Ovis aries: one gene and its partners. The main gene of each other region encodes a partner of the protein of the gene in region 2 in a complex. Links are inferred from orthologs where the notes say so. Each region holds a gene or a part of one and is shown on either strand. Other genes may lie near its edges.

The links.
Region 1: VAMP7 (region 2) and BET1L share a complex: the UniProt entries of both Homo sapiens proteins name them as parts of the SNARE complex. The link is inferred for Ovis aries from reciprocal best matches to the Homo sapiens genes VAMP7 and BET1L.
Region 3: VAMP7 (region 2) and BNIP1 share a complex: the UniProt entries of both Homo sapiens proteins name them as parts of the SNARE complex. The link is inferred for Ovis aries from reciprocal best matches to the Homo sapiens genes VAMP7 and BNIP1.
Region 4: VAMP7 (region 2) and STX5 share a complex: the UniProt entries of both Homo sapiens proteins name them as parts of the SNARE complex. The link is inferred for Ovis aries from reciprocal best matches to the Homo sapiens genes VAMP7 and STX5.
Region 5: VAMP7 (region 2) and VTI1B share a complex: the UniProt entries of both Homo sapiens proteins name them as parts of the SNARE complex. The link is inferred for Ovis aries from reciprocal best matches to the Homo sapiens genes VAMP7 and VTI1B.
Region 6: VAMP7 (region 2) and STX4 share a complex: the UniProt entries of both Homo sapiens proteins name them as parts of the SNARE complex. The link is inferred for Ovis aries from reciprocal best matches to the Homo sapiens genes VAMP7 and STX4.

What each region holds. Positions count from the first base shown.
Region 1 is NC_056074.1:47,477,852-47,482,684, reverse strand, and holds the start of BET1L (BET1-like protein), read right to left. Parts: upstream 2,925-4,833; 5' UTR 2,859-2,924; coding exon 2,840-2,858; intron 1,706-2,839; coding exon 1,614-1,705; intron 1,374-1,613; coding exon 1,317-1,373; intron 1,188-1,316; coding exon 1,020-1,187; 3' UTR 1-1,019. Other genes in the region: RIC8A (synembryn-A), read left to right, coding at 4,673-4,756. UniProt on the Homo sapiens protein: Vesicle SNARE required for targeting and fusion of retrograde transport vesicles with the Golgi complex. Required for the integrity of the Golgi complex.
Region 2 is NC_056080.1:82,158,042-82,162,821, forward strand, and holds the start of VAMP7 (vesicle-associated membrane protein 7), read left to right. Parts: upstream 1-1,587; coding exon 1,588-1,733; intron 1,734-4,780. UniProt on the Homo sapiens protein: Involved in the targeting and/or fusion of transport vesicles to their target membrane during transport of proteins from the early endosome to the lysosome. Required for heterotypic fusion of late endosomes with lysosomes and homotypic lysosomal fusion.
Region 3 is NC_056069.1:5,005,254-5,010,020, forward strand, and holds the start of BNIP1 (vesicle transport protein SEC20), read left to right. Parts: upstream 1-1,434; 5' UTR 1,435-1,443; coding exon 1,444-1,527; intron 1,528-3,687; coding exon 3,688-3,780; intron 3,781-4,767. UniProt on the Homo sapiens protein: As part of a SNARE complex may be involved in endoplasmic reticulum membranes fusion and be required for the maintenance of endoplasmic reticulum organization. Also plays a role in apoptosis.
Region 4 is NC_056074.1:37,666,820-37,670,977, reverse strand, and holds part of STX5 (syntaxin-5), read left to right. Parts: intron 1-1,135; coding exon 1,136-1,252; intron 1,253-1,329; coding exon 1,330-1,386; intron 1,387-1,544; coding exon 1,545-1,626; intron 1,627-2,096; coding exon 2,097-2,203; intron 2,204-2,371; coding exon 2,372-2,493; intron 2,494-4,158. UniProt on the Homo sapiens protein: Mediates endoplasmic reticulum to Golgi transport.
Region 5 is NC_056060.1:77,615,706-77,620,598, forward strand, and holds the start of VTI1B (vesicle transport through interaction with t-SNAREs homolog 1B), read right to left. Parts: upstream 3,276-4,893; 5' UTR 3,146-3,275; coding exon 3,031-3,145; intron 1-3,030. UniProt on the Homo sapiens protein: V-SNARE that mediates vesicle transport pathways through interactions with t-SNAREs on the target membrane. These interactions are proposed to mediate aspects of the specificity of vesicle trafficking and to promote fusion of the lipid bilayers.
Region 6 is NC_056077.1:27,672,673-27,677,581, reverse strand, and holds the start of STX4 (syntaxin-4), read right to left. Parts: upstream 2,915-4,909; 5' UTR 2,630-2,914; coding exon 2,600-2,629; intron 2,413-2,599; coding exon 2,311-2,412; intron 2,198-2,310; coding exon 2,098-2,197; intron 1,963-2,097; coding exon 1,888-1,962; intron 1,386-1,887; exon of another isoform or gene 1,161-1,385; coding exon 1,090-1,160; exon of another isoform or gene 1-1,089. UniProt on the Homo sapiens protein: Plasma membrane t-SNARE that mediates docking of transport vesicles. Necessary for the translocation of SLC2A4 from intracellular vesicles to the plasma membrane.

The DNA of each region.
Region 1 (4,833 bases), on a different chromosome or scaffold from region 2:
CTGGTTTGGCTGGGCCTGTTAGTTCAGTCCATAGGAGCAGGGGACTGACCGAGTGGACACTGAGGGCCCAGGGAGAGGTGGGCAGACATTGCAGGTTAGGGTTAGCTTAGTGGAAACTGCCCACAAACCCTCAAAAAGTGCCCTACAGTTCCTAAGAAAAGTCACTATCCAGAAACCTCCCGCGTACACCGACAAAAGCCCCGCCTCACACCGGGCCTGACTCTGAAGCGTCAGACGGACATGTCTCCAGAGGTCTAGTCTCCGGGAAGCAGGCCTCTGGTGCTGGGCAGATCCTGAATCCCGTGAGAACATCGGCTTCTGCTCCTGGACACACGGCTGGGAAACTGCAGGCCTTGGGCCCCAAGTCCTCAGCCTGCGCTGCAGTCCCTTCCTCCACCCACACCCCCTGCCCATCCCCGAGGGCCTGGTTTCAGTCGCGGGACTGGAGGGCAGGAAGAGGCCACTCAGCAGGACCTTTGAATCTCTCCGGGTCATGGATGACCAGCAGCCCTGGCCAGAGAAACTGCAGTCTCCGGGCTGAGGACACTCAGTTGGAGGTGACAGCAGTGATTTGAGCTTCACAGCCACACCCCCTTCCTGTGTCAGCTCCAGGCAGCTCAAACATCAGACACAGCCTCATCCAGACCAAGACAGCGCAGAGAAGCCTTGAGATGCTCAGAACCTCAAGGGCCGATGAAAGGACTGCTGCTCACAGGCGGCCGTGTCCAGGATTCCCAGATGCTCTGCTTGGACCCAACACTGCTGGGGCTTCTAGAGCTCAAGGTGGCAGAGGGAGCTGGGCCTAGGCTACCCCACAGGGATAGGGCCCTTGCACACATAGAACCAGCTAACAAGAGCTCACTGGGTTAGAGGCTCCCAACCACGCAGAAAAAACATTCCTAAGCCATGATCCTCATTTCAAAGGAGTATTTTGAAAACAAGTTCTCTGGAGCCCAAAACACCAGACAGAGGAAAATCCTGGTTGCCCCAGGCACCCACAGAAGCCAGTTCCCATTGGCTCACGTCCTTGCCCTCGACAGGAGGTAGGAGAGGATGAAGAAGGCCACAATCAGGCCCACAGCCATACCACAAAGAAGCTTCCGGTTGTCTCGCCCAGATCGCGCCATTGTGGAAAACCGCTTCACACTCCCTGTGAGTAGACCCGTCATACTTGTGAAATCTGAGTCCTGAGGGAGAAATTCCAACATTGTCACAAAGGGACAGTGACTCTGCAACACACACACACAGATGGGGGCTGCAAAGCAGGTGGTGGGGAGCTGAGCTGACCGTGACGCTTGCAAACCGCAGGCCCTTACCATGCCGTCCAGGTACCGGTTCTGGTCCTCCGCATCCCTATCGATGTCCAGAGCCAGCTGGTCAGGACACAGAGGGGGCAGGGTCAGACCGGGACAAACACAGTGAACAGCACCTGACCCCCAACAAGATCAACAGAGATCAGAAGATCCAAATGCCACCTGGGCCTCGCACAGATGAGTATGCCACAGGTGGGACAAGGAGAACGGAACTACCTGAAACCCATCCAGGTCTTTACTGCCCGCTGACCACCCCCTCCAGATGCCAGGTGGAGGCAAAAGGAGAGGACCACCACTGACCGATTTGAGCCTGGTGACCTTGGAGGCCAAGCTGTCAGCCATCCGCTTGTTTTCTCGGTCTAGAATCTCCTCCACAGCACCAGGGCTCTGAGCTGTGAGGAGAGAGAGAGGCTGAAAGCATGACTCCGCTCATGAACCGTGACCCCTATAATCTCGGCCCTTTGTGGCCTCCGGCCTCCAATCCCATCTGGCCCAGTCAGGCATCTAAGGGGACCCGGCCTCTGTGTGTCTGCTGAGCAGGCCCCACCCTCACCCAGGATCCAACTTCACACATGAGGAGGACTGTATAAACAACAGTGTGAGCACAGGTCCTGTGCATGTATCCAGGCTGGGATGGGTGGGCGGGCACCTCCAAAGGGCTCAGTTCAACCAGTACTTTCAGACATTCTGTGACGGAACTTGTACCATCCCTCCGCAGGTGTCACTAGCAAGGTACACAGAACCTGTTCTCAAAATAAACCCCAATGAGCTCTGGTAAGACTTACAGGGCTTGAGACTGATCCCACACAGGGTCTTGTGTGTCACCCAGAGCCTGGTACCCGCTGAGAACTGGCCCGAGACAGGCGCTGGGCCTGGTGATTCAGAATTACCACCCTACCAGGCTGGTGAGAACTGTTTCCCACAAAGTTCAGAGTGCGCATTTGCCTCGAGCCCGATGCCTCAAGGAGACTCATCAAAAGCGGGCACAGTCTAGGAACCATGGCTTCTTACAAACCCCAAAATAAGAGGTGTAAAGGTCCTACCGACCGACTGTACCCTTAACTCCTTAAAAGTCACAACAGCCCAGCGAAACAAGCATCAGCATCCCACTTCGCAGGTGAAGAGAGACTCCCAGAAGGCAAGTGGGGTACTAGGCATGCTTGGGCCCTCCTATCACGCGCAGCTCTCACTCCGAGGGGGTCTAGCCTCAGGGACCCGTCAACCAGGAGACCCGGCCGAGGTCCCGTGCAGAGTCATCTCCCAGGGACGAAACGGGTGGGGACTGCGGGCATCCGGACCCCGCAGTTTCACGCAGCAGCTGGGCAGGAGCGCCCAAAGGGACCCAGCGACTCATCCACAGCGCGGCGGGCTGCACCCTGGCCGCCCTGCCCAAACTACGCCCGCCCGCAGTGTCTTGCCAACAACGCCACCTAGTGCCGCGGAGAAAGGCGAAGGCGGTTCCTAAGAGCAGCGGAGTCGGCCCCGGCGAGCCCCGTAGCCATCCGCCTCCGCCCTTCCGCGCTCACCCCGAGCCCAGTCCGCCATCGCGTCCAGCTCCGACCCCAGGGTCCGTCACCGCTTGATTACAGCCTCCTCGGACGTGGCGCAGTCGCCGGAAGGGGCTTCCGGCCCCACCCCTTCCGCCTCAGGCCCCCCACTTCCGGCCGAGATCTGGCCGACAGACTCGGCGGTGGGAACGGGAAGAATCTGACGTTTCTTCCGTCGTTTGACTTGGGGATGGGGCTGGCGTTTGCTCTCGGGACTCCTGGATGATTTGTGGTTTTAGAGGCAACTATGGTGCCCACAGACACTCCAGCAGCCATTCCCGCCTAAGGCGGTGTCGGGGTCCTAACTGGGAAGAGCACACGGGCCTTTCCCGGGCCAAAGAGGCTCCTCGCCGCGACCCCGCCGGGGTTGAGGCCCGGAGCGAACTCGATGGGAAGCCCGGTTCCAGTTACTGCCGGCAGGACAAACGAGATCAGTGCCTGGAACGAGCGAGCGGTGCAGAAGTCGCAGGAGTGAAGCCCTCTGAAGAAAACAAGGAACCAGGAAGAGGGGTGGGAGCGTGAGGGGAGTGGGTACGGGAGGAGCCAGCGCTTTTTGACCTTGCACGCGGTGCTGACAAGGGGCCTGACAAAGTAGATGCTTAACAAAGCCTTCTTGCCCGGTGGATGGGTTATAAGTTACCCACCCCCCGTAATGGAGCAATTGCTGTGCCATGTACTCGACAATCCACTGAAATGGAAACTTGTATCGTCTCTGCTTTTCAAAAAAGGAAACAGCCCAAGCAGACGAGCAGGTGTGCCTGCTTACACAGCAGGGAAGTCACCGCACACAGTCAGACTTTGTCTTCCTCCTGACCTTCCCCCCACCCCGACCCCGTCTCTCTTTTCTCTCAGCTCCAACAGTGATGTTTCTCTCTCCCTCCACGGCCATTCCCACCCTCGCACTGGCCACTCCTGCCTTGCAGAACCTTCCTTCGGAGCCTTTCCTGGCTCACTCCCTAGGCTCCGGTCTCAGCAAAAACTGACTGGCACTTCTTCAGATCTCCTTGCAGCCCATCAAGCCCCTTTTGTTATTCAATCACAGCACTATAGCTGCCTAACGTCGTCTTGTTTGCCCGTTTTAGTCTTCACATCCGGCACATAAGCGCCAAGAAGGCAGGAACCTGTGGGTTCTATTCACCCGCATCCCGGCTCCTCGCGTGCAGTAGGCACTCAAACATCTGTTTAGAAACCAAGTGGTCCGGAGGTTGTAAACTCCTTTCCACCTCGACTTTTCCCTGGACGTTTCATTCGTTCTGTGCATCAAGAGCGGTGTTGGTGTGCGTGTGATGGAGGGGTGCGGGGCTGAGGCCCTCTCCTGTCAGGAATCCTAGCCCAAGGAGTGAGGCTCACTGCTCGGTTCAGGGCGATTCTGGCCCATAAGTCGGACGATCACCGAGCCGGAGTTTAAGGCCAAAGCTGACTCGGCAGCAAAGTCTTCAAGTTCTATCCAGCTGTTCCAGGCCTCGCCCCTTTAAGGCGCCACACAGACCAGAGAGCTCTGCGCCCGCCGGGTCCCGGCCTCCCCTGCGCGCAACCCAGGCCCCGCCCCACGGCGCCGCGCACGCCCCGTCCCGGCCTCCCACGCGCGCAGCCCAGGCCCCGCCCCTTTAAGGCTCCACGCAACCCAGAGAGCTCGGCGCCCGCCCGGTCCCGGCCTCCCCTGCGCGCAACCCAGGCCCCGCCCCACGGCGCCGCGCACGCCCCGTCCCGGCCTCCCCCGCGCGCCGAGCCTGGGCGGGGCGGGCAGACGCTTGCCCGGAATCGCGAAGCCGGGAGCCTCCGGCCTTCCTGGCATCGGGTCCTGGAGGTGCCATGGAGCCCCGTGCAGTTGCGGATGCCTTGGAGACGGGGGAGGAGGACGTGGTTATGGAAGCTTTGCGCGCGTACAACCGGGAGGTGAGCGGGAGTTGTAGACTTGGGACGTGCAGAGAGGAGGTGGGGCCGGGTGGGGCCCGCGCGCGTGGCCGGCTGGA
Region 2 (4,780 bases):
CTGGCTTATTGGATGAAATGGAGCATGTTAACAAATAACATTAGGTTGAAGAATTAGCTGAAGAATAGGAAGACATTTGTTCATCCCTTTTATAAGTTTATGGCATTAAATAAGAGAAACCTGACTGTTCTGTGGGGAAAGATAGTATAAATTCATAAATATGAGGAAAATACACACAAACCTCTTTTTATTGAAGTATGCTTTATTGTGCTTCATGGATTTTGCTTTTTTTTTTTTTTTAACAAATCAAAGGTTTGTAGCAACCCTGCATTGAACAGGTCTATCAGCATCACTTTTCCAGTAATATTTTCTACATTTCATGTCTCTGTGTAACATTTTAATAATTCTTGCAATATTTCAAACTTTTTCATTTTATTTGTTATGGTGATCTGTGATCAGTCATCTCGGATGTTACGATTATGACTTGCTGAAGGCTCCATGATGGTTAGCATTTTTTAGCAATTAAGTATTTTTTATTTAAGACATGAATATTGATATAAGATATAATGCTATTGCACACTTAGTAGACTATAGCATATTATAAACATATCTTCTGTATACATTGGGAAAGCAAAAAGCTCATGTTACTTGTTTTATTGTTATATTTGCTTTATTGTGGTAGTCTAGAACTGAACCTACAGTATCTCCCAGGTATTACTATAGTCTTAAACTCATGCTGTACTGTTTTTGAAATATTTTGTTTATAAAAGATCTTACAATAATTTATAGAACCATTCCTCTCTTGTGGAAGATTTGGGTTGTTTTCACTTTGTTCCTGTGATGGTTAATGCCTTCATAGTAGAGGCAGTATACAGTGTAGAGATAAAATTGTGGGTACTAGAATCATACTTCCTCAGTTTAAATCACAACTTTTGTCACTGTAATTTTAGTTCTGTAATTCTGGATAAATTATGTAAGTCATCTATCCTTAAGTTTCCTCATTTTACTGTAAATGTCATAGTAGTGTATTAATTTAATTGATGTAAGGATTAAATGAGTTAATAAATGTGAAGTGTTTAAAATTGTGCCTGGCATATAGTAAGTACTTAATACATATGGGCTATTATTATTGATAATACATGTATTTGTAAATCTAGAATCTAACTTTTATTGAACTATTTCCCTAGGATAAATTTTCAAGATGAGATCACTTCATTAAAGAATGAAGACTCTTTCTGTCCCTTTGCCATCTATGGTCATTGCTTTTCAGAGGGTGATAATCAATTTGTGCTGTATAATTTGCAAATGCAACCTATCTATCAATGTAATTATGTGTGTATGTATGTATCATATGCATTGCATTGTATACACACATATACATAAAAGTATATATATATATATATGTGTATCCATTTGATTTGTCTCTGTATTTGAATGCACATCAGTATGTTTTAGGCTTGTACAAGACTGTGACCTTGTTAAGTCTGTTCTGTTTACTCTTACAGTGCCTTGGTCAATATTGTCATGGATGGATGGATGGATGTTGGTAAATGATAGATAGTAAGTTACTTTTGAAAGGTTATATCAAAGAAATATTCTAAATCTTATGTTTCTTTTTTTTTTTTTTCTTTTTGATAGATTGAAGCCATGGCCATTCTTTTTGCTGTTGTTGCCAGGGGAACCACTATCCTTGCCAAACATGCTTGGTGTGGAGGCAACTTCCTGGAGGTGACAGAGCAGATTCTGGCTAAGATACCTTCTGAAAATAACAAACTAACGTACTCACATGGCAAGTGAGTTCTGCTTTGTGTGGGTAGCGGGTAAAAGAAATGAATTGTATTATTATACTCAGAACAGTAGAAAACTAGAAAAGCAAGCTTCTCAGTAGATAATTTTAATAAGCTGACAGAACAATAATCTTTACCAGCTTAGAAAATGTCTGGTTCTATTAATTTTAAATTTAGCTAAAAATTATTTTATTCTGTCACCTAAGTGTTACTTGTATTTTAAAGAACAATATGGAAATGTTAGATATAAAAGTGATTCTGCTATAGAGCTCTAGGATATGTGAAACTTGATATAGTTATGATAAATAATAATTATTTGTTCATTCTTTCTGTAAATATTTACTGAGCACTTAACTGTCACCAGACACTTTGGTGGTGCTGGAGATACATGAAATTACTCAGTATTTGTCCTCGTTGTTTAATGGAGGTTATAGTTTAATGAAGGAGATGGTCAAATTCATAGATAATCACAGTAGAGAGTAGAAAGTAGTGGGTAGGGGGTGGTATTGCAGGTAGAAGGAACAGCTGGTAGAGAAGTATGGAGACATGAGCTCATAATGCATATTTAGTGAACTTCGGGTGATTCTCTGTGACTGGTGCACAACGTCATGAAAATAAAGCTAGAGAGATTGACAGAAGAGAAGTCCTATAGGGCCTCATAGGCCATGTTAAGGGGTTGTACATTACGCAGTGGGCAATGGGAAGGCATTGAACGTTTCCAGCTGGGGTGTGACATGGTAAGGTTTTGCTTTAGAAAGATCACTGTTGTGGCTGATTGGAGAATGAATTGAAGGGGGCATAGGTGGGAAATCTTAGTAATCATAAATATTGCCTCAGCCTTCCTCCTTAATACTTAAAAATCTTTTGCTACCTAACTCATCCTAATTTCCTTAGACCCTATCTCAGTAGGAGGTCCTTGTTGGTTTCCAGAACTAACTCCTTATATCATTTAGGATTTAGTGTAAGCTACTGCAACAGAGAGACCCTAAAAGACAGTGTTAATTTATGAGATAGCCCAGAGGTGAAGACTTCGGGACTGTTGGAGTGGCTCTGCCAGTTTCAGTTAGTGCCTTGGAATTCTGGCCAAGGCAGCTTCTTCAGCTCTGGTATTTTTTAAGGCACATTCCAGAAGTGGCTGATAGTATTGTTCACTACATCATTATGCAGCTAACCTAGCTGGAAATGGAGACTAAAATTTGTCATTTCTAGCTATGTAGCCATGTGCTCAGCTAGAACTCCATTACTCTGGAAGAAATTCTAGGGTATCAGGAGATAGCTCACAATCTTCTAGTCTACTCTTCTGGGCCTCCAAAATATTTGGATGTGCTCTTCTTCCCAAAAAACACACTTCCTCTCTGCAGGAAGTGGCCCCAAAGATTTATCTGATCGCTTTGTCCAGCTCCAGGTCCAGACAGTCTGGGTGATACAGTCCTCTCCGTCATACCCAGAGATGACTCCTGTGGCCTATTGACATGCAGATGTCACTGCTTCCCAGCAGTATTCAAATAACTACCACACAGTAATTTCAGAGACTCCTGTTCTGACCCAGGAGTGGTTCTGCTTTGCATGAAGAATTTCTTCATCTTTTCTCCCTTTGTTCTCCCAGAGGCTCCTCCTGGTACATTATCCTCTGTGGCCACGTCCAAAATGGGTATTAGTGAGTTTGTCATCTTTGGGAACTGCACAGGTTCCATAGTCTACTACTCTCTGGTGTAGTTTAGGGTCTGAGAAATTACCTAGGGGTTAAATGACTCTGGTTGCTCGTGAGTATGGCTTTAGGGTTTCTTAAAAAATTTGCTGGGCTTAACGATCGTGTTTCTAGTCAGTTCCCAGGAAAATGCTCAGGGAAAGCATGTGTCATCTTTTTAGAGGCAAGACTGGGAAGCAGGATATATACCTTCCACTCACATTTTATCAGGCAGAACTTATCACATAGCCATATCTAACTCTAAGGGAAGTTGGCTATGTAATCCAATGAAAATGTGGTTATACTGCAAGAAAGCAATGTTACTTATCTGCTGTGTCTTTCTACCTACATCCTTACCCAGTCCTACCTGGTCTCATTTGGAGTAAGTATCCGTCACTGAGTTGTTTCTTTCTTTTTAAGCTTCTACCTTGGTTTCTTTCCTATAATCATGTTCCATTATCCCAATCAAACATATCTTTTATTTCAGTCAGTTCACTTCACTCAGTCATTTCCGACTCTTTGTGACCCCATGGACTGCAGCATGCCAAGCTTCCCTGTCCATCACCAACTCCCGGAGCTTACTCAAACTCATGTCCATTGAGTTGGTGATGCCATCCAACCATCATCCTCTGTCATTCCCTTCTCCTCCTGCCTTCAATCTTTCCCAACATCAGGGTCTTTTCCAGTGTTATCACTGTATACCAAAAGAAAAAGTTCCATTTTACTGTATGAAAATAATTTTTTCCTGAAATCTGACCTTCTTCTTGCTATTTCTTTCATTAATAGCATCACCAGTCATTCAGCTGGCTAAGCTTAAAACTTCAGAATCACATTTGACTTCTTCACCAAATCTTTGCCATTCTGCTACAAGAGGTATTTTAGTCTCCTCTCTCCACATTCATCATAGTGTTTGCTCAGACATTCATTGTTTCTCATTCCTAATGACCTCCTCCTAACTGGTTTTTCGGCTCCCTTGGTGGCTCAGTCAGTAAGGAATCCATCTGCAATGCAGATCACCTGCAGCACGGGAGACACAGGTTTGATCCCTGGGTCAGGAATGTCTCCTGGAGAAGGAAATGACAACCCACTCCAGCATTCTTGCCTGGAGAATTCCATGGACAGAGGAGCCTGGTGGGCTACAGTCCATGGTGTTGCAAACAGTTGGACATGACTGAGCGACTAAACCACAACTGGTCTTTCTGCTTCTAGTTGATCCCTCCTTAAATCTGTATTTAACATTCCTAAGATTATACTTTCTTGCTTAAAACCCAAACTAAGCCTTCATTATTTTGTCTATTTCTGACTTTTCCATCTTTGTCTCTATAGATATCTTTGTCATTCCCAGACCAATCTATGTTATTTTAAG
Region 3 (4,767 bases), on a different chromosome or scaffold from region 2:
AGAAGTGGATGGTTCTACCTCACAGGATTGCTGTGAGAGTTACATTAGAATGATGCACATACAGCACTTAGTGGCTGGCACAAGGGAAGTGCTTCAGAAATGCCAGTGCCACAGTAAGGGCAGTCGTGTGCGTTGCCTTCTCCCCATGCTCCATGCTACTACAGTGTGCTTGGTGCTTTTTTGTATTGCCTCATTTAGCCCTCCAGTCAATGCTAGGATTGCCGGCAGTGAGCCTCTGAGGAGACTGAGGCACAGAGAGATGAAGTGGGTGGTCAAGCAGGATTCAAGCCAGGGCAGATGCCCAAGATGCGTTGCCCAGCCAGTCTATTAGATGCAGTGGTGTGATGAACGCTTCAAGGGAGGGTGTTCTCTCCAGGACTAGACTTCCAAAAAGAGCTTGAAGAATCCAGGAAGGAGACAGGGCTGGTGGGGTGATTGATGCCCTTGAGATCCAGCTAAGAAACTTGGACTAGTTAATAATAATAATACAATGAAAGAGTCTCCATCTGTTGAGGGTGTGCTCTTAAGTATTTCCATTAAGTAATTTAAGGCTTCCCTGGTGGCTCTAAAGACGGTAAAGAATCTGCAATGTGGGAGACCCAGGTTCAATCCCTGGGTCGGGAAGATCTGCCTGGAAAAGGAAATGGCTACCACTCCAGTATTCTTGCCTGGAAAATCCCATGGGCAGAGGAGGGTTACATCCCTGCCAGGTTACAGTCAGTCCATGGAGTCACAGGACTAAGTGACTCACTTTTGTTTCCATTAAAAACTACATTAATCCGTCAAAACTACTCCAGCAAAGTATATTTATTAAAACCAATTGCACACAAAAGGGAAACGCCAGGAGTCAGAGAAGGGGTGTAAGTTGGAATGTGACTTGATCAGTTGGGCATTTTAGAAAGATCCCTCCAACCGTGGGCTGAACTGACAGGAGTTGTTAACCCTAGCAAACTACCTTGAATTTCATACATTAAAAAAAATAATGATAACATTTGTCATTTTCTTCTTTCACCCTACAACTTATTTTCACTGTAGAAAATATGAAAAATACAAGAAAGTGTAAAGGAGTATAAAAAATTGTTTAACTCCACCTTCCAGAGACATCCCAATGGATATTTTTTTCCAATCTTTTTCCCCTCTCTGTGCAAAAAATATGCAGTCATTAGAATGGCTGATGGGCAGAATATGGGGAGACGCCCCTGTTAAAGCGTCCTGACAATTCCCTCCTTTCTTTCTCTACGTCTTCTAGGTCCACCACAAGAGGCCGACTGATTTTTCCCACGTGTCAGGCAAAGGCCATAGGACTTGGCGCCACCACCCTCGCTCGCCTCAGGCCTGGTCTCTAGGGGGCGCTGCCGTAAGACCCGGAGGCTAAAAAGGAAACCGGTGCGAAAACGCGTTGGAACTTGGGCTCCGCGGCTTCCCGTAGCCGGCATTTCCAACATGGCTGCTGCCCAAGATGTCCACGTCCGTATCTGTAACCAAGAGATTGTCAAATTCGATCTGGAGGTGAAGGCGCTTATCCAGGTACTAATGCCCGGGGTCCCCGCCAGGGTCCAGAAGCCCTAAATCCCAGCTCAGCTGGCCTTCTGTGAGCTCAGCGGCCTTACTCCCGAGCTTTCCGCCCTTGGTCATGTCTCCGAGGCCACTGGCCCAGCTCCCTGCCCGCTACCCCTCAACTGTCTCGCCCCATGGCCCCTCCCCTGGATCGTTGGCTTTGGTATTCCGTCCGACTGCCGTTAGCTCGCCCTCTTCCAGGACACCCCGTCCTCTACCTCCACTCCTAACTGGGCTTCCCCTATGTGGCCGCTCCCCTACACACCCCTGGCCGTCACCTCGCCACCCCCCAGCCAGCCTCAAAACATACCTGTCATCCTGCCTGGCCCCGCCTTCTGATCCCGTCCTCCTCATGCTTCAGTAGCGTCCTGTGGGCCATCAGCCTCGCCCCCTGCTGGTCTGATGCCCCGTGGCACCAAAGGCCACCTGGCACAGGAGGTACTGGGTGAAATGAACGTGACCTAGACCGTAGTTGTGATTTTGTAAATGAGGAAGGAGTCTGCCTGAGCAGAAAGTAGATAATGGCAAAACTGGGACGCGGACAATGAAAGTCATCCTAGAAAAAATTCTTGGCGTCTACTTCGTTTAACTGATGGGGCGATTGAGATCCTTTGCCTAAGCCAATTAAGGGTAGAAGGTAATAGTTCAGTAAACCAGTTGGCATAGGCAAGAGTTGGGAATGTAGAAATAGTTCCTTTAGTTTATCAAAAAGAAACCAAGAGTTTTAAACCTTTCTTTTGGGCAAATGGTTTCCATTTCCAGCAGTGTTACTCAACCTTAGATGCTAAGTAAGAGTCTTCATCTAGCTGTGGTAAAAGGTGAAGGAAAGTAAGCTCCCTACGGAAATCAGGTGCAAAATAAACCAAATTAATAGCCGTTAAATGTTGCATGGAACTGTGATTTAATGAGTAATCCAGAGAACAAGAACAACTTGATACAAACATTTAAACTTTTTGAACTTCACCTTTCCCATGTATTAACTACAAAACATCTGGGCCAATTCTAGAAGAATTAATTTAGGATTCATAAAAAGGAAACTGGCTTTTCAGGTGATCTAAATTTCCTCAGCCCCATTTTGCACTCTCCAAGATTCACTTTCTCCTGAAGAGAACAATTGATTATAGCTAGATTTAGCACATCCTTACAGTGTGGCAACTCCTGCTAAGCCCTTTATGTGGGTACCTGGTTATGAAGTGGGTAATGATGGGTAAACAGACACAGAAGCTTCAGTAACTTTTTCAGGATTATACATCTGATAAATTGCTGCAACTAGAATTTGAATCCACATGGTCTGACTCTAGGGCCTACTTTTTACCTGGCCCTGGTAATTCTGAATGTCCAGAAACAAATTCGAAATCTACATTTGAACATGTCTGTAAACTGTGTGATTTATCATATTAATAGATGGTGTGTAAAATCAGTTCAAGCAGTTAAAGAGGTTCGTCTTGTCATATGCCGAGAATTTAGCATCCTCATTTTTAGGTTGGAAAGACCTGAAGTTATGGTGCCCTCTCAGGTGTTCGTTCTTGTCGGATATGCAAGCTGCTTTAAGTCTTTCATAATGGCTGGATGCTGTTCTGTTAAACATCAAGACTTATTAGTTCCTTAGTCCGTTTCTGGTTTTAAAAACGTGTTTATTAATTAATTTTTGGTTGCACTGAGTCTTCGCTGCTGCGCATGGGCTTTCGCTGACCGCACAAGCAGGGGCTACTCTTTGTTGCAGCGCATGCGCTTCTCATTGCTGCAGCTTCTCTTGTTCCGGAGCACAGGCTCTAGGCCCCGCAGGGCTTCGGTAGTTGCAGAGGCAGGCTCCGCAGCTGTGGTGTGCGGGCTTAGTTGCTCCGCAGCATCGGATTTCCTATCCACTGTACCACCAGGGAAGTCGCACTGTTGTCTTTCTGCTTATGCTTCTATGTTGCTCGCTCAGACTTGACTCCAAAGAGGGATGAAAAAAAAGTAAATTATAATGCTTCTGCTTGTGTTACAGAGGTAAACAGCAGAGATTAGGATGAATTACAGCCAGTAGGTCCAACTTAGTTGTGGTCTAAGCCAGCTCTCTCATTGTACAGCTGGTGTCATTTCCTCTCATTGCCTTGAGAAAGGCCCGTTCATCTCTTCAATGTCTCCTAGGATATTCGAGATTGTTCAGGACCATTAAGTGCACTTACCGAACTGAACACTAAAGTGAAAGAGAAGTTTCAGCAACTGCGGCACAGAATACAGGTGAGTGAGTGCGCAGCTGGGACGCTGCGCCTGGGGAAAGAAAAGAAAGTGCATTGGAGAGGTTTTGCATTGTGTTAAGTTAATGATTTGTTTAAAATCTAGATTCTTTAATGGAGCGTAAACTCAATGACAGCAGGCCTGTTCCTGGTGATCGCTGCGTATCCCTCATGATGGTACAGATTGAGCACCATCGTTGAGTGGAAGAATGGGTGTGTGGGAAGAAGGGAGGGAGGGAGGCAAGGTGGGGGAAATGGAAGTTCTGTCACAGAGAAGCAGAGAGAGTTCTAGAGGAAAAGAAAGTGAGGGCTGCTGCCCCTCACTGAGGTGGGTGGCTGTGTCCTGGGGTTTGATTATTTGGGGCTCTGAGTCTTTCTTTTCAGAAGGCCTTACCTGTGGGGCTTTCGTGCGACCTGGGTTGAATGTCTCTTCAGAGGTTTTTGCATTTGCTTTTGCCAGGTCTCCTGGGATTACCACAGGTCTGGGAGCACTTTTTATGTTTGTTTCTCCTTGTGGAGGTTCTTGAACCACTCAGGAAGGATGAACTTGGACCCTCGATCCATGTGAGGGGAGTGCCATGGTTATAATCGGGAGAGACATTTATATCCCTCTAGCCACGTCTCACAACAGAAAACTCCACAACTTCTCTGTGCTGGTTGACAGACGTTTTCCTAGCTCACCTTTTCACTGAGGGTATTTGTATCCCTTTGTGCTCCTGGCTTTGCAGTGGTCTCAGTTCCAGTTCCCAGCTTCAGGTGGCCAAAGCTTTGTTTTCTGTCCCCACATGGACTTGAAAGCCGTGTTTGCCATTCAGTCTGAAATATGTACCAAGACTGAGAGCCTGTAGAAACAAATAGCAGTGTGTTATTTCCATCATATCTCAGAGTGGGATCAGTAGGCTCCTATGTTACTGTAGTTTTTTCCCTTTTCCTTTCAGGCACGTCCTGGACCGCAGGAACGCAGGAACGCATCCCCTGCTCCAGGGCAGCC
Region 4 (4,158 bases), on a different chromosome or scaffold from region 2:
CCTCTTTCTCCTCTGGTCCTGCCCTGGACCTAGCTGCTCTGGGGCAAGCTTTCTCTGCCACTCCCGGTCAGTCCTTCATCTCCCTTGTTTTATGAGGCCCTCAGCAGGCAGGATTGGGAAAGCAGAGGATCCACCGGCCTCGTGTAGAAAGCCTGGCTGTGCTACTAACTCCTGTATAAAGTTCGATGAGTTACACCTTTCACTCTTTTGCAATAGTAATTTTAAATATATTAATTAGAATAATTTAAAATAGAAATTTAAAATAATTTAAAATATGTGTGTGTGTTTAAGTCCCTCAGTCGTGTCTGACTCTTTGCAACTCCATGGACTGTATAAGTCTACCAGGCTCCCCTGTCCATGGAATTGTCCAGGCAAGAATACTGGCATGGTAGCTATTCCCTTCTCCAGGAGATGTTTCTGACCCAGGGATTGAACCTTGGTCTCTTGAATCTTTACCATCTAAGCCACCAGGGAAGCCCATATATATATTTGGCTGCACCAGGTCTTAGTTGCAGCATGCAGCTTCACTGCAGTTCAAGATTCTTCAATTTTCATTGCAGCACACGGGCTCTTTAGTTGTGGTGTGTGGGATCTAGTTCCCTGACCAGGGATCGAACCTGGGCCTCCTGCACTAGGAGTGCAGTCTTAGCCACTGGACCCCCAGGGAAGTCCCTGCAGTAGTAATTTTTTAAAAGGAATTGTGTATATAGAAACCATTTCATTGATGTTTCTAGGACTCCTCCCATCTCCTGAGTACAGCACAGATGCTTTGTTGGTCAGCACGCTCTGGGTCTGAGATTCTGTCCTTTTAAGGGGTCTGTGGCCATGAACAGGGCCTCACAGTAGTGAGTAGGGCAGTAGGGTGGAGGGAGTAAGCAACTCAGTTCTTTACAAACGGACGAGGCCATGTTTCACCTCTTTCCGGCTCTACTCTTCAAGGACTGAGCCAGAGCAAGCTCCAGAGGTTGGACTGCACCAGCAGGCCCTTCTGGTCTGACTGAGACAGCATCACCCCTGCTAGTATGTCCGTCCTGCCATCCCTGCCAGCGATGTCCATGTGGGAAAGGCACTGGCTAAGGACCCCCCCCCCCCCATCCCCCGGTTGATACTGTTTTTCCGTTGGCTCTTTCACCAGGACATCAATAGCCTCAACAAACAAATCGCCCAGCTTCAGGACTTCGTGAGGGCCAAGGGCAGCCAGAGCGGCCGGCATCTGCAAACCCATTCCAACACCATCGTGGTCTCCCTGCAGGTGGGACCAGGGAGAGGGGGCGGCAGAAGGGAGGAGGCGTTGTCTTCTCTGGCTGACCCTCTCTCCTCCTCTTCTAGTCGAAACTGGCCTCCATGTCCAACGACTTCAAGTCAGTTTTAGAAGTGAGGACAGAGGTGAGAAGAAGCTGGGTAGGAGGGATAGGAATCTGGGCATGAGGGCCCCAGAGGGCAGTGGGAAGGGCAAGGGCAACAGTGTCATGGGCAGCAGGGGGAATCTAATGTGCCCGCTTTCCAGAGGCCTCAGGACCTTTGCATTTCTTCCCCAAACCCAGAACCTGAAGCAGCAGAGGAGCCGGCGGGAGCAGTTCTCCCGGGCGCCTGTATCAGCCCTGCCCCTTGCCCCCAACCACCTGGGTAAGTCACAGGCAAGTCAGGGAGCCCTGAGGGTAAGGCCTAGTGACTCTGGGTCTGAGGGTATCTCCCTAAGGCAGGGGTTGGGTAGGAGAGCGGAGGGTCAAGGAAGTTGCTAGGCTTTCTCAGAGGTCACTCCTGATGCCTGGGATCTATGGTCCACACCTAGTCTCCAGCATTCTCCCTGTTGAGGGTGAATCCAGTCATGTTCAAAAGAATGAGCTTTTTAAATTTTTGGTCCACTTAGTCATTATATTCACAGTCTGTCATTTCATTCTCAAAACCACCCTTTGAGAAAGCAACTGTCATTATCCCCCATTTTACAGGTGAGGAAACTGAGGCTCAGAGAGGTTAAATGACTTGTCCAGGGTCACAAGGCTAGTAAGTGCCAGAGCTGGGATTCAAATCCAGAGAATATGGGCTTTGAACCTTTTAACTGCTAAGAAGTGCCATGCTGTCTTTCTTCCCCACAGGGGGCGGTGCTGTGGTTTTGGGGGCGGAGTCCCGAGCCTCTGGGGATGTGGCCATTGACATGATGGACTCTAGGACCAGCCAGCAGCTGCAGCTCATTGACGAGCAGGTATCCACGCTCTGAGGCAGGGAGGAGTTGCTCCCCTGTTTTCTTGTGTGGTCACAAGCAAGTGTTTGGAATGTGCTGTGGGTGGAATGGCAAACTGGAAAGCCCCAGAGAGGCAGGACCCACCCTCAGAAGCTCCTGGTGTTCATGTACGCTCTCTCTCCTCTGAAGGATTCTTACATCCAGAGCCGGGCAGATACCATGCAGAACATTGAGTCCACAATTGTTGAGCTGGGCTCCATCTTCCAGCAGTTGGCACACATGGTTAAGGAACAGGAAGAAACCATTCAGAGGTGAGACACTTTCTCTCTTTAATCTCAAAACCAGAAGCCTTGTCTTCCCTGTGGATTGGCATCCTAGAGGTCCCCAGGGACAGCTTAACGCCCTTTGGAAGAGAAGAGTGAATCCTGTCCACACATAAGGTCCAGTTCACCTGTCTCCATCCACACCACAAGTATTAATTGAGCACCTGTTCCATGTCAGGCACTGTCATAGGCGCTGGGGATACGGTGATGAGTAGAACAGTTAAGTCTGTTCTGTGAAACTTACTTTGTAGTATGGAATTCGATAGAGTGAGTAAGGACAACTGTTTAAAAAGAATCGAGAAGAAATTTTCAGGTGGTGATAAGGGCTAATACTGAAATGGATGCAGTGTTGAGAAAGTGACAGAGGAGGAATATCAGATTGGGTGGCAGGGCAGGCTGCTCTGAAGGCTTTGTATTGAAGCAGAGACGTGAATGACAAGAGGGATCCAAACACTCAAAGGAAAGGGTAAGAGTAGTCTAGGCAGTGTGGACAGTCAGAACAGAGGCCATACAATGGGACAGTCTTACTTTATTAAAGAATCAAGAAGGCCAGTGGAGCTGGAAAGCAATGAACAGGAAGAGAGAAGTGCAGTATGAGGCTGGAGGGAGGTAGGCAGGGCCAACCCACAGAAGGCCCCTCTGGTCCCTGGTACCCTTGCTACTGCACAAGGCATTTTATCTGATCCTGTTCTTTGGTGCTTGGCATTCAGTCAGTCATAGAGATACAGCCAAAGACAAAAGAGACAAAGATCCCCGCCCTCGTGGAATGTACATCATAGTAGGGCAGATGATTTAGAATATACGTAATAAGTAAATGGTCCAGTGTATATTTTTGACCAGTGATAAATCCATAAATAAAAGCAGAGTAGGGTAAATTAATCAGGAGTTCTAGGTTTGGAGGAGCAAGTTGTAATTTTAAATAAGGATGGCTGTGGTAGGCCCTATTAAGAAGATGACATCCTTCCAAGACTGGGGGAAAGTGAGGGAGTTTGCTGCATGGATATACGGAGAAGAGTACCAGGCAGAGGGAAGAGCCTATGTAAAGGCCTTCAGGCAGGAATATGTCTGTTGAGTTAAAGGATAGCAAAGAAGCCACTGCATCTGGCGACAAGTGAGAAGAAGAGTAGTACCAGGTGAGGTTAGAGGGGCGATGGGAGACCAGATCAGGTGGGGCCTTTTAAAGCCAATGTGAAAAGTGAAAGTGAAAGTTGCTCAGTTGTGTCTGACTCTTTGTGACCCCATGGACTGTATAGTCCATGGAATTCTCCAGGCCAGAATACTGGAGTAGGTAGCCGTTCCCTTCTCCAGGGGATCTTCCCAACCCAGGGATCGAACCCAGGTCTCCCTCATTGCAGGTGGCTTCTTTACCAGTTGAGCCACAGGGAAGCCCAAGTGGGGAGCCATTGCAGGGTATTGATTGATCTGATTGATTGGCCATGCTAGGTTTTCATTGCTGCAAATGGGCTCTAGCTGTGGCAAGCAGGTAGCTTCTCTGTGTTTTAGGGCAGTGGCCTTTGGGCGTGCAGGCTCAGTAGTTGTGGTGCATGGGCTCAGTTGCCCTGTGGTGTGTGGAATCTTCCCAGACTAGGGATCAAACCCATGTCCACTGCCTTGGCAGGTAGATTGGACCACCAGGAGAGAAAAAGAGTTTAT
Region 5 (4,893 bases), on a different chromosome or scaffold from region 2:
ATGGTTTTTCCTGTGGTCATGTATGGATATGAGAGTTGGACTGTGAAAAAAGCTGAGCGCCGAAGAATTGATGCTTTTGAACTGTGGTGTTGCAGAAGACTCTTGAGAGTCCCTTGGACTGCAAGGAGATCCAACCAGTCCATTTTAAAGATCAGTCCTGGGTGTTCTTTGGAAGGACTGACGCTAAAGCTGAAACTCCAGTACTTTGGCCACCTCATGCGAAGAGCTAACTCACTGGAAAAGACTCTGATGCTGGGAGGGATTGGGGGCAGGAGGAGAAGGGGACGACAGAGGATGAGATGGCTGGATGGCATCACTGACTCGATGGACATGAGTCTGAGTGAACTTCGGGAGCTGGTGATGGACAGAGAGGCCTGGCGTGCTGCGATTCATGGGGTTGCCAAGAGTCGACTGAGCGACTGAACTGAACTGAAAGGTCTGGCTGTGTCTTACTTACCTCATCTACTATTGATCTCCTACACACATCTTGTTTCAGTCACAGTTCTGAATATTTGACTTTTCTTTTCCCCTTCCTTTGTTGTCTCTTCTCACTTCCCCTCTCAGGCAAATTCCCACTCAACCCTTTACACTCAGAAGTTCTCCTTTCTGAGAAGCTTTCCTCTCACTCCCCTACGGCCATGTTAGCCTTCCTGTCACGGTCTCAAAACTATCTTAGGACTCATCACACACTTTGGAAATCTCCCATTTAAGGCAAGAACTCACAGAACTCCCCAGACCCAGGATATTGAGTGATTCATAATTCTTGATAGATGTTTATTGAAAATACTGAATTCAATTACAGAGCATAAGCTAAATGCAAGGGATGTGTTATGTATTAATGTATTATTCAGTGACTATATTATTCAGTGCCTAATAATTCATGATAGGAAAGCTTTGGAAAGCCTATGAAGTCGTCTTAGTACAAGAAAAAAAGGATTCAGAGATGACACCCCAGTATGTTTGCTTAATTAAATCCAACTTATTCAACAAATATTTATTGAGGAATATAAACAAAGCAGTGAATAAAGGGACTGAAGGCTGTTGAAATTCTTATAACCTGAGGATATGCAAATACTATATAATACTTACCCACTGAACAACTAAGTGTTACCAGCAACTTGTGTGGAGACTATTTTGTACCTGGGTAGAAATTCACACCTTTTTGATTGTCCTCAGGTAGATGACAAAAGTGAATACAACTAAGTTTTCTATTTTTGGAAACAGAATGTCCTTTGGCATTATTTAGCCTTCCCTGATAGCTCAGTTGGTAAAGAAGTCGCCTACAATGCAGGAGACCAAGTGCAATGCAGGAGACAGGGGTTTCAATCCCTGGGTTGGGAAGATCCCCTGGAGAAGGAAATGGCAACCCACTCCAATCTGGGAAACGCCATGGACAGAGGAGTCCGGTGGGCTACAGTCCATGCGGTTGGAAAGAGTCAGACACGACCTAGCAACTAAACCACAACCACACCCTTACAAAAACAAATCTTGCAAAATTTAAATCAACACCAGGTGAAAAAAATGATCTATTTTTCAACCATGTAAATCAGATCCAATCACTCTCCTGTTCTGTAGCCTTTAACTTCAAGTCACTGTATTTAGATAAAGATGCAAATCTTTCACCAGGGTTCACGTGGCCCCACACAATCTGGCCCTTTAAAACCTTATCTATTACTATTATTTCCTTTGCTCATTCCACCCTAAACACACTGGCCCTTTAGTTCTTCCTAGAGCATACCAAGCTCACTTCTGCTTAAGGACTATTGCAGTACTATTCTGGAGAAGGAAATGGCAACCCACTCCAGTCTTCTTGCCTGGAGAATCCCAGGGATGGGGAAGCCTGCTGGGCTGCCGTCTATGGGGTTGCATAGAGTTGGGCACGACTGAAGTGACTTAGCAGCAGCAGCAGTACTAGTCTGTCCTCCTGAAACTTATTTCTCCCAAATTTTTGCATGGTTCAGTCCCTTACTTCAAGTCTCTGCTCAAACGTTACCTCCTCAAAGAGGCCTTTCATAGCCATCCAATTTACAATTAGAGCTTCCCCATTCCTTGCCCTGCTTTATTTTCCTGTATGGCCCTTAACACCACTTCCAAATATTTATATCATCATCGACCCATAAGAACAGAGGTCTCTAAGTCTTTTCACAGCAATTTGCAATATTACCAGCATCTACACAGTGCCGAGTGCACAGCAGCCTCTCTTAATAACTATATGTTAAACAAAAGTATGAGTTTCATTCTCATCAGAGTCATTCAATTCATGTGACCTTAGGTAACAGAGCAAACACTCAAGCTTCCACGCTTCAGGAAAAGCAATGAAAGTCTCATCGGCCTTGCCATCAAGATCTACTTGTTTTAAGGCAAAGAACTATGATAGACCTTCCTATACAGATTCAATCAAAAAATTCTTAGCTCCCCCAAGACAAGCTTGCAGCACACTGCATTATGAAATCAAGGGGCAGGAAGGTCTAAGCAGAGGTCATAAAAGGATCGCACCTGAAGGCCACCATCCTCATTTTAAAGACCAATCCCTCCCCCAACCCCTACCCGCCCCCAAGACTGGTTATTTACACCAGCCTCCAAAGTTATGATGGCTTTGGGTTTTTAACCCTTTTTGTGCTACAGGTCCTTTGCCAATCTGGTGAAAACTATGGGCCTCTTTGGAGAACACTTTCAAGCGCGGAAAACAAAGTACTGAGAGCCACAAAGAAAACCAATTATACTCAGTTTACAGATTTAAGGGTCACAGGTATAAGGTCTCTCATGCCCATCTTGCCACAGTGAAAATGAAACGAGCGAACTCTGAAGGCAACAGGGGATTCAAGAGAGAGATGACACTCCGTGGTGGACCCCTGGGTACCTAAGTGTCAGCACGGAGATTCTGGACGCCGGGACTCAGCCAGGCCTAGGGGGCGTGCCTGAGGACGCCAAGCGAGAGACGGGAGGGTGGGTCTGGAAAGGAGGTGGGGGTTCTTCCTCCCGGTGCTAGCGGAGCGCTGTTCCCGTTGTCTCATCCCGCCCCCACCTCACCTGTCCCTGCCATCCCCAGGAGCCGCTCCGGCACCCCTCGTAGGTCTTCATGGAGGCCGCGGAAGATCTCGTGCAGTTTCTCGAAATGCTCCGAGGAGGCGGCGGAGGTGGCCATGGCGCAGGCCGCTCTCGAGCAGCGGGCGCCGAGATTCTGGGCCCAGGGCCCGCTCCTACTCCGCCGTCAGCCGCCCAGCCCCTCAGGCATCACGGCGACCGCCGCCACAGTCCCCCGACGAGGCGCTTCCGGGGCCGCGGCGGGGTCCTCCCGGGCCGGAACGCCCATCCCCTGCTTGCCGTCACTGACGGCGCGCCGGGCGTCAAAGCCTGACAGAAAGTTAGTCTGGCTCCGTTGCCCGGGAGACTTCTGAAGGGGCGGTGGCGCTTTGGCGCGAGCGGCAGTCTCGGAACCCCAGAAATACTCAGTCCGAGGCTGTAGGGAGGCCGGATGGCGGAAGGAAAACATGGGCACCCGCGGGCCGGCCGACGCGGGCGCCTCTTTCCTGGGCCCCGCCTTCCGGCAAGGATTGGGGGGGGGGGCTCTGCAGTGCATGCCGGGGGTTGTAGTTCGGCACGAAAGACGCTCCGACTCGGAAGTCACGAGTTGCCGGGGGCGGTGGTCCTGCTGTAACCGCGGCCGCCGGCGTGACCGCGATGCGCAGCGGTTAGGGTATCAGTTGGCACCTGGCCGTCGTCGTCATTATCATCGCACTGTGACTATCCTGATTTCCTCAGTTCACATTCCGGCTGTTAGCTTTCAGTTCTCAGAAGATAGTAGGACCAGGTGCCTGCCTGCCCCCGAGTTGAAAGCACTTTTATTGGGGAGCAGGTGACTGGAGTGACATGCTTTCAGGAGTGGCCCCCGGACAGCAGTGCGACCCCTCAAATATGCGCTCAGCCTCTTATTTGGGCTGAGCTCATATATCGGCTTGCTCATGCAGTCATTCACTCAGCAGGTGTTTGTCAATTTAACCATAGCCTTTATGCTGGGTTCTGGGCATGTGTTGGTGAATAAAAGATTCATCGCTTGGATAACTTATAATGTAGTGAGCAAGACAGACCTGGCTTCACCATTAAGTGTAATGTGTTAACGATTACAAAGCCTTTTCCTGCACTCTGTGGGTTCCCATGGTTAGTGGGAGAAAGTTCCTATTTCCGTTGATTACATGGTTTGCCTATGGAGTTCATTCTGAAATGTTTCCTTGGCAGCCCAATACTGAAGACTGCCCACACATTAAGATACATTTGACTGTTCGGGGGAAATGATTTGGTGATGTATATACCTCCTGGGCCCTTATTTTTATTAGACTGAGTTCATTGGCCTTTGATTCAACAAACATTTGTTGAGCTCTTTGTGTAGCCAAGTCTGCAGTTGTTAGTAGCAGTGTACTGTGATAAGTCCCAAGAAAGTGAAAAGTGTCAGTCGCTCAGTTGTATCCAGCTCTTTGTGACTCCATGGACTGCAGCCTGCCAGGCTCTTCTGTCCAGGGGATTTCCTAGGCAAGAATACTGGAGTGGGTAGCCATTCTCTTCTCCAGGGGAATATTCTTGACCCAGGGATGGAACCCAAGTCTTCTGCACTGCAGGCGGATTCTTTATCACTGAGACACCAGTATTCATTGAGCATTCAGAGATAGCAAAGTCTGGGATTGTTAGTAGTAGTGAATAGCATTGTGTTACAGAAAAGGCAGGTACAAAAAGGAAAGATTATAAATAGCCTGGGTTGGAAAAAGTGGTCTTTGAACAGTGTCATAAAAGATTAGCAGAAATGGGTGAATGAACAATCAAATTATCAACAACCCAAGTTAATAACATTTGAATTGAGACTGCACTGTGGCAAACTCTGGGACAAATTGTCCTCATGAA
Region 6 (4,909 bases), on a different chromosome or scaffold from region 2:
GAGATCATTTGTTGACAGCTGTTTCCTAAATAGCTAGAAAAGGGTCTGGCATACAGTAGGCCCTCAAAGAATATTAGTGGAATGCTTGCTGAACACCAGCCTCCCTGCTTAGACTAAAGGTGTGCCAGGATTTTGCATTTCCCAGATTTTGCAGGCCCACCTGGGCACTCAGCCTCTCACACAATGACTACCACAAGCCCCCCACCCCCTGTAAATGCCTTCCCTGCTTGTCCATTTTCCTGATGCCTAAAATCTGCTCATTCCTTGGAGTTCCTTTCTCCAGGACACATCTGCTGTCCTGGGTTCAGTTGCACCCTTTCAAGATGCCCAAATTGTGGGGGGGCAGTTCTTGAGGCACTAGCCTACTGTGTTCCCCCCTTTGTTTGGCAAAGTAATAAAACTACTCTTTCCTTCTCTTCCATTAAAAAAAAAATCCCCAAATTGTTTAATCTTCAATCTGGGGTCTTTGCTGATTTCTGGGCCCACCTACTCCAACTCTGACCTCCAAGAACTCCAAACCATGCCTCTCTGGGCACCCAGAGGACACTGCTCAGACCATTTCAAATCTCCTTATTAAGATGATGATTCAGTGACCTTCCCCATACACACACACCAGGGAAGTTCCTCTTCCTGACTTGAATTCTGTCCTTGGGGCAGAGGATGTCCTCATCACATGGGTAGGAAACCACCCAGTCACTTGACTGCACCCTTTTTTTCCCTGGGCAGAGCCATTAACTACCAAGTCCTACCTGAGTAATGTCTTTGTCATCTATGCAAGCTTAACTCCCCATCTTGGCTTCTAGAAAGTATATCTCCTACAACCAAGCCCAGATCATGTCTGGGGTCTCAGCAACTTCTCACTGAATGGAGGAGAAGAAGGCAAGGTGTTATAACAGATTGGAAGTCAGGAAACCCGGGTTCTTGACCTTGGGGTAAATCCTTTTTTATCTCTGAGCCTCAGTTTCCTCATTTGGAAAATCATCAGGTTGGATTTAATGATCTCTAAGAGCCCTGCCTTCTTACATCTGCCATCTAATGATCTATTGAACACTTGCTGAAATGTCCTACTTCTGGGAATAATGAACCCACCTGGGTTTTTCTCATTCTTGTGTTGACGGAGTTATAATTCTCATCAGCTTCCTCCTTCTGGGGCTCTATGGCTGTGGAAAGACACAGAAGTATTGGTAGAGGAGGGGGTTTGACCTCTGGCTTCTGAAATTCATTTGGGGACTGGGACCCAGCCATGCAGCCATACAATAGAGAGAGATACAATATCTCCACAGAGCTTTTTTTTTGAAATAAAATTCATCATAAATGACTACTCTTGAGCCTCTGACAGGCAAAAGTATATTTTTCTTTGCAATAAATACATCAGAGAATTCCCACATGTTTGGAGAAGCTTCCTAACAAAACCCACATCTTCCCACCCAAAGAATACACACTGGGCAGCAAGAATTGTAGGAGTACAGATGATCCTTGCACAACTGTGGGTCCACTTATACCTGAATTTTTAGAAAATAAATGCATACTACAGTACTACACAATCCATGACTGCATGAATCCACCCTTGCAGAACCTGGGATGTGGACGGCAGACTATACAGTTATATGCAGATAACGACCTGAAGGTGGAGGTAGCAACGCTAACCTCTGCCTTGGACAAAGATCAAATGGACATGGTTTCATTATAAATAAGGGAACTTGAGAGGCAGGCATATGCTGTGGAAAGAACTTTGGACCGAAAGCCAGGAGATGGAGATTCTAGACGTTGGCCTGCTGTGTGACCTGGATATATATCACTGGCCTCTCTGGACCACACACTGCCCAGAAATACCAGGAGTTGGGCAGGATCAGAGGAAAGTATCTGGCTAAAGTCCTAGGAGCTCACCCTTCAGCTGCGCGCGGATGTCCCTCCCTAGCTGTTTGATCTCGTCACGCAGGTTCTGCAGGTCCTGCTTCATGCCTAAACAAGAGAAAGCCATGATGCCCAAATAGCAACCTCTACCTCAACAAATCTCCCTGGCCACCACCTGTGTGGAACTACAACCCCCACAAGCCTCCAGCTGAGCATGCGTTCTGCACCCGGGGTTTCACTCACTCTCCTCGGGAAGGGGCGTGGCCAGGATGGTGACCTGCTGCTTCTCCAACTCTCGGACTTTATTCTCTAGCTTGACGATAGTCTGCCGAATTGTCCGAACCTGGGGACGATGACCGAGAGGGCTGAGGGAGATGTGGGCGCTGCTCCAGGCTGCTCTGCTCCTCGGGCCCTCCAGGCCCCTCGTGAATCCAGGCCGAGACTCCAGCCTCTTACCTTCTGGAAGAACTCATCGTCCGGGCTCCCCAGCCGTGCAGTACCCGGGTGTACCACCAGCGCGACTCGCTCCTTGTCTTCATCGTCCGAGCTGTCATCCCCCTGCCAGGGCCGGGGTCACTGGCATCACTTCCTTGCTACTGCTCTCCCCCAGTAGAACTCACGGGCTTCCGGGACTTTCCTTCCTAGCCCACAGTCATCCCTCCCGGCCCCGAGGACCAGGAGTCCTGCATTCCAGTAGACCCCATCCCGTCCACCCGTCCCCAACCCTGCTGCGCCAAATTCTCACCTGCCTCAGCTCGTGGGTCCTGTCCCGCATGGCGGCCCGAGATCCCTCTCGCCGGCGCCGGAGCCCGGCGGGCCTCAAGATTCTAAGTTTGGAACTCCCGTACCCAACTCACACTCTGACACTCCCCTCCGCCCTCACCCTGCAGGCCCCAAACCCTCCCCCAAGAGTCGCTAGAGGCTCTGTCCCTGGCACCATTCACAGTTTCAAAGGGAAGGAGCCGACCTCGGGGACCCCCAAGATTCCACAGGTTGGAATTCCCTTTTCTTTCCCCCCGCCCTCTCCTGTAGCCTCAGCCCCGCCCCCTCTGGAAAGACTGGAGCATGCGCACCGGATCGCGTCCCTTCCCCACCCCAGGGAAAGGCCGAGGTCGGAAGCTTCAGCGCCCCGAACGGAAGCGAAATTGCCAGGACGTGAGAACCCGCCCCCTTTGCCGGAACTATCGCATCTTCCAGCGGAAATCTAGTTGCCAAAAGGGGTGGGAATGCGTCATTGGTACGTGATCTGTGAGGCCCTCTCAATTCGCATCACCCCATAGTGCAAACCCCCCCGCGCGCGTCATGTGACCGGCCTGGTCCCAACCTCTCAGACCACGGAACGTGACGCTTCGACTGTCACATGTCTCTGCCCTGTCAACTCCATCTCTGGAACACCCATCTCCCCACGACGTCCTCGGCACCCCGCGCGCGAGTTACCTCTCTTCAGAACCCCCGCGAGGCGGGGAGGGGGCGCTGACTACCCCCAGAGACAGTGGGTGGTAGGACCCAGGCTGAATCCGGCTTCCTTTCTTTTGGGTCCGCGAGTGTGGGCAGACTGAGGACTTAGAATTTGGAGCTGTCAACATCATGAGACCTTGAAATTCAGAAAAGAATAAAATACAGCGTCAGAGACTTGCGAGATTTTGTAGGCAGAGCATCTGGGGGTGGGAAGTGACCTCACCCGAGGCGGAACTCTCTTCTCCCGCATACTCCTGGCACAGTTTCTGACAGGTGGGCGGCTGGCTGGCGCCCGGCTTGAACACTGCAGTCCCGCTGCACTCACCACCTTTGAGCAGGGCATTTCAGGGCAGCTCGGGCTTAGAAAAAAGTCTGTTACATTGAGCAGCATGTCACTTAGACAACCCCCTCCCCAGACCCCCACCTTGCACTGGGGGTCTACCCTCTGGAACCCACAAAAATATTACATATTATCGTGGCCTGTGAGTTACTAAAGTGAGGGCATGATTGTGGACAGAGGAGCCTGGAGGGTTACAGTCCATGGGGTCACAAAAGAGTCGGACACGACTAAGTGACTAACACACACAAATTGTAGCCCACCAGGCTCCTCTGCCCATACAATTTTCCAGGCAAGAATACCAGAGCGGGTTGCCATTTCCTCCTCCAGGGGATCTTCCCAACCCAAGGATCGAACCAGCATCTCTTGTGTCTTCTTCACTGGCAGACAGATTCTTTACCACTGAACCAACTAGGAACCCCAGCACATGTTAGGCCCTCAGTAAATATTTGTTGATAGAGTCTTAGCCTCTTATATAACTGAAGATGAAGCTTATGATTCCCTGGTCTTCTCTTTTATGCTTCAGGCTTTTGGTGACACTTCCCTAACCCTAACCCTGTAGGCATTTATTCATTCAGTGGATATTTATTGTATGGGCCAGACACTGTTTTAGGGCCAGAGATATAACAGGGCAGACAAGAATGGCTTGCCCTTTTGGAACCCACCTTCTATAGAAGGATGCCCCAAAGTCACTCAGTGAGTCTCAGAATAGCTGAGAGGAATATTAGTTCTCCTGGATCCCAGGATGTCAATAGCCCGGGTGTCTCTGCCAGGGATTCCATGCTGCTACTCCTCCAGGGTCTTTCTTCCTCTTTTCATCTCCTGAGCCCCACCGTGCACCAGATCCTTGCCAACTCCTGCCCATCTCTCATGTCTTCACTTGGATCTAACATACCATGTATTTTGCTAATTTGTGTTATCTATTGTCTGCCTCCACCCCTCCTCTCCATCCTACTAGAATGTAAGCTCCAAAAGGACAGGGATTTTCACCTTAATTATTCACTACCATGTCCCCAGCACCTGCAACACTGCCTGGCACATAGTAGCTGATTAATAAATATTCATGAAGGAACGAATTTTTTTTTAACCACATCATGCAGCTTGAGGTATCTTAGTTCCTCAACCAGGAACCATGGAACCCAGATCCTTGGCAGTGAAGCATGGAGTCCTGACCAGTGGACTGCCAGAGAATTTCCCAATTTCTTTTGTTTTTTTAATTAATTTATTTGACTGCATTGGGTATTAGTTGCAGCACTCGAG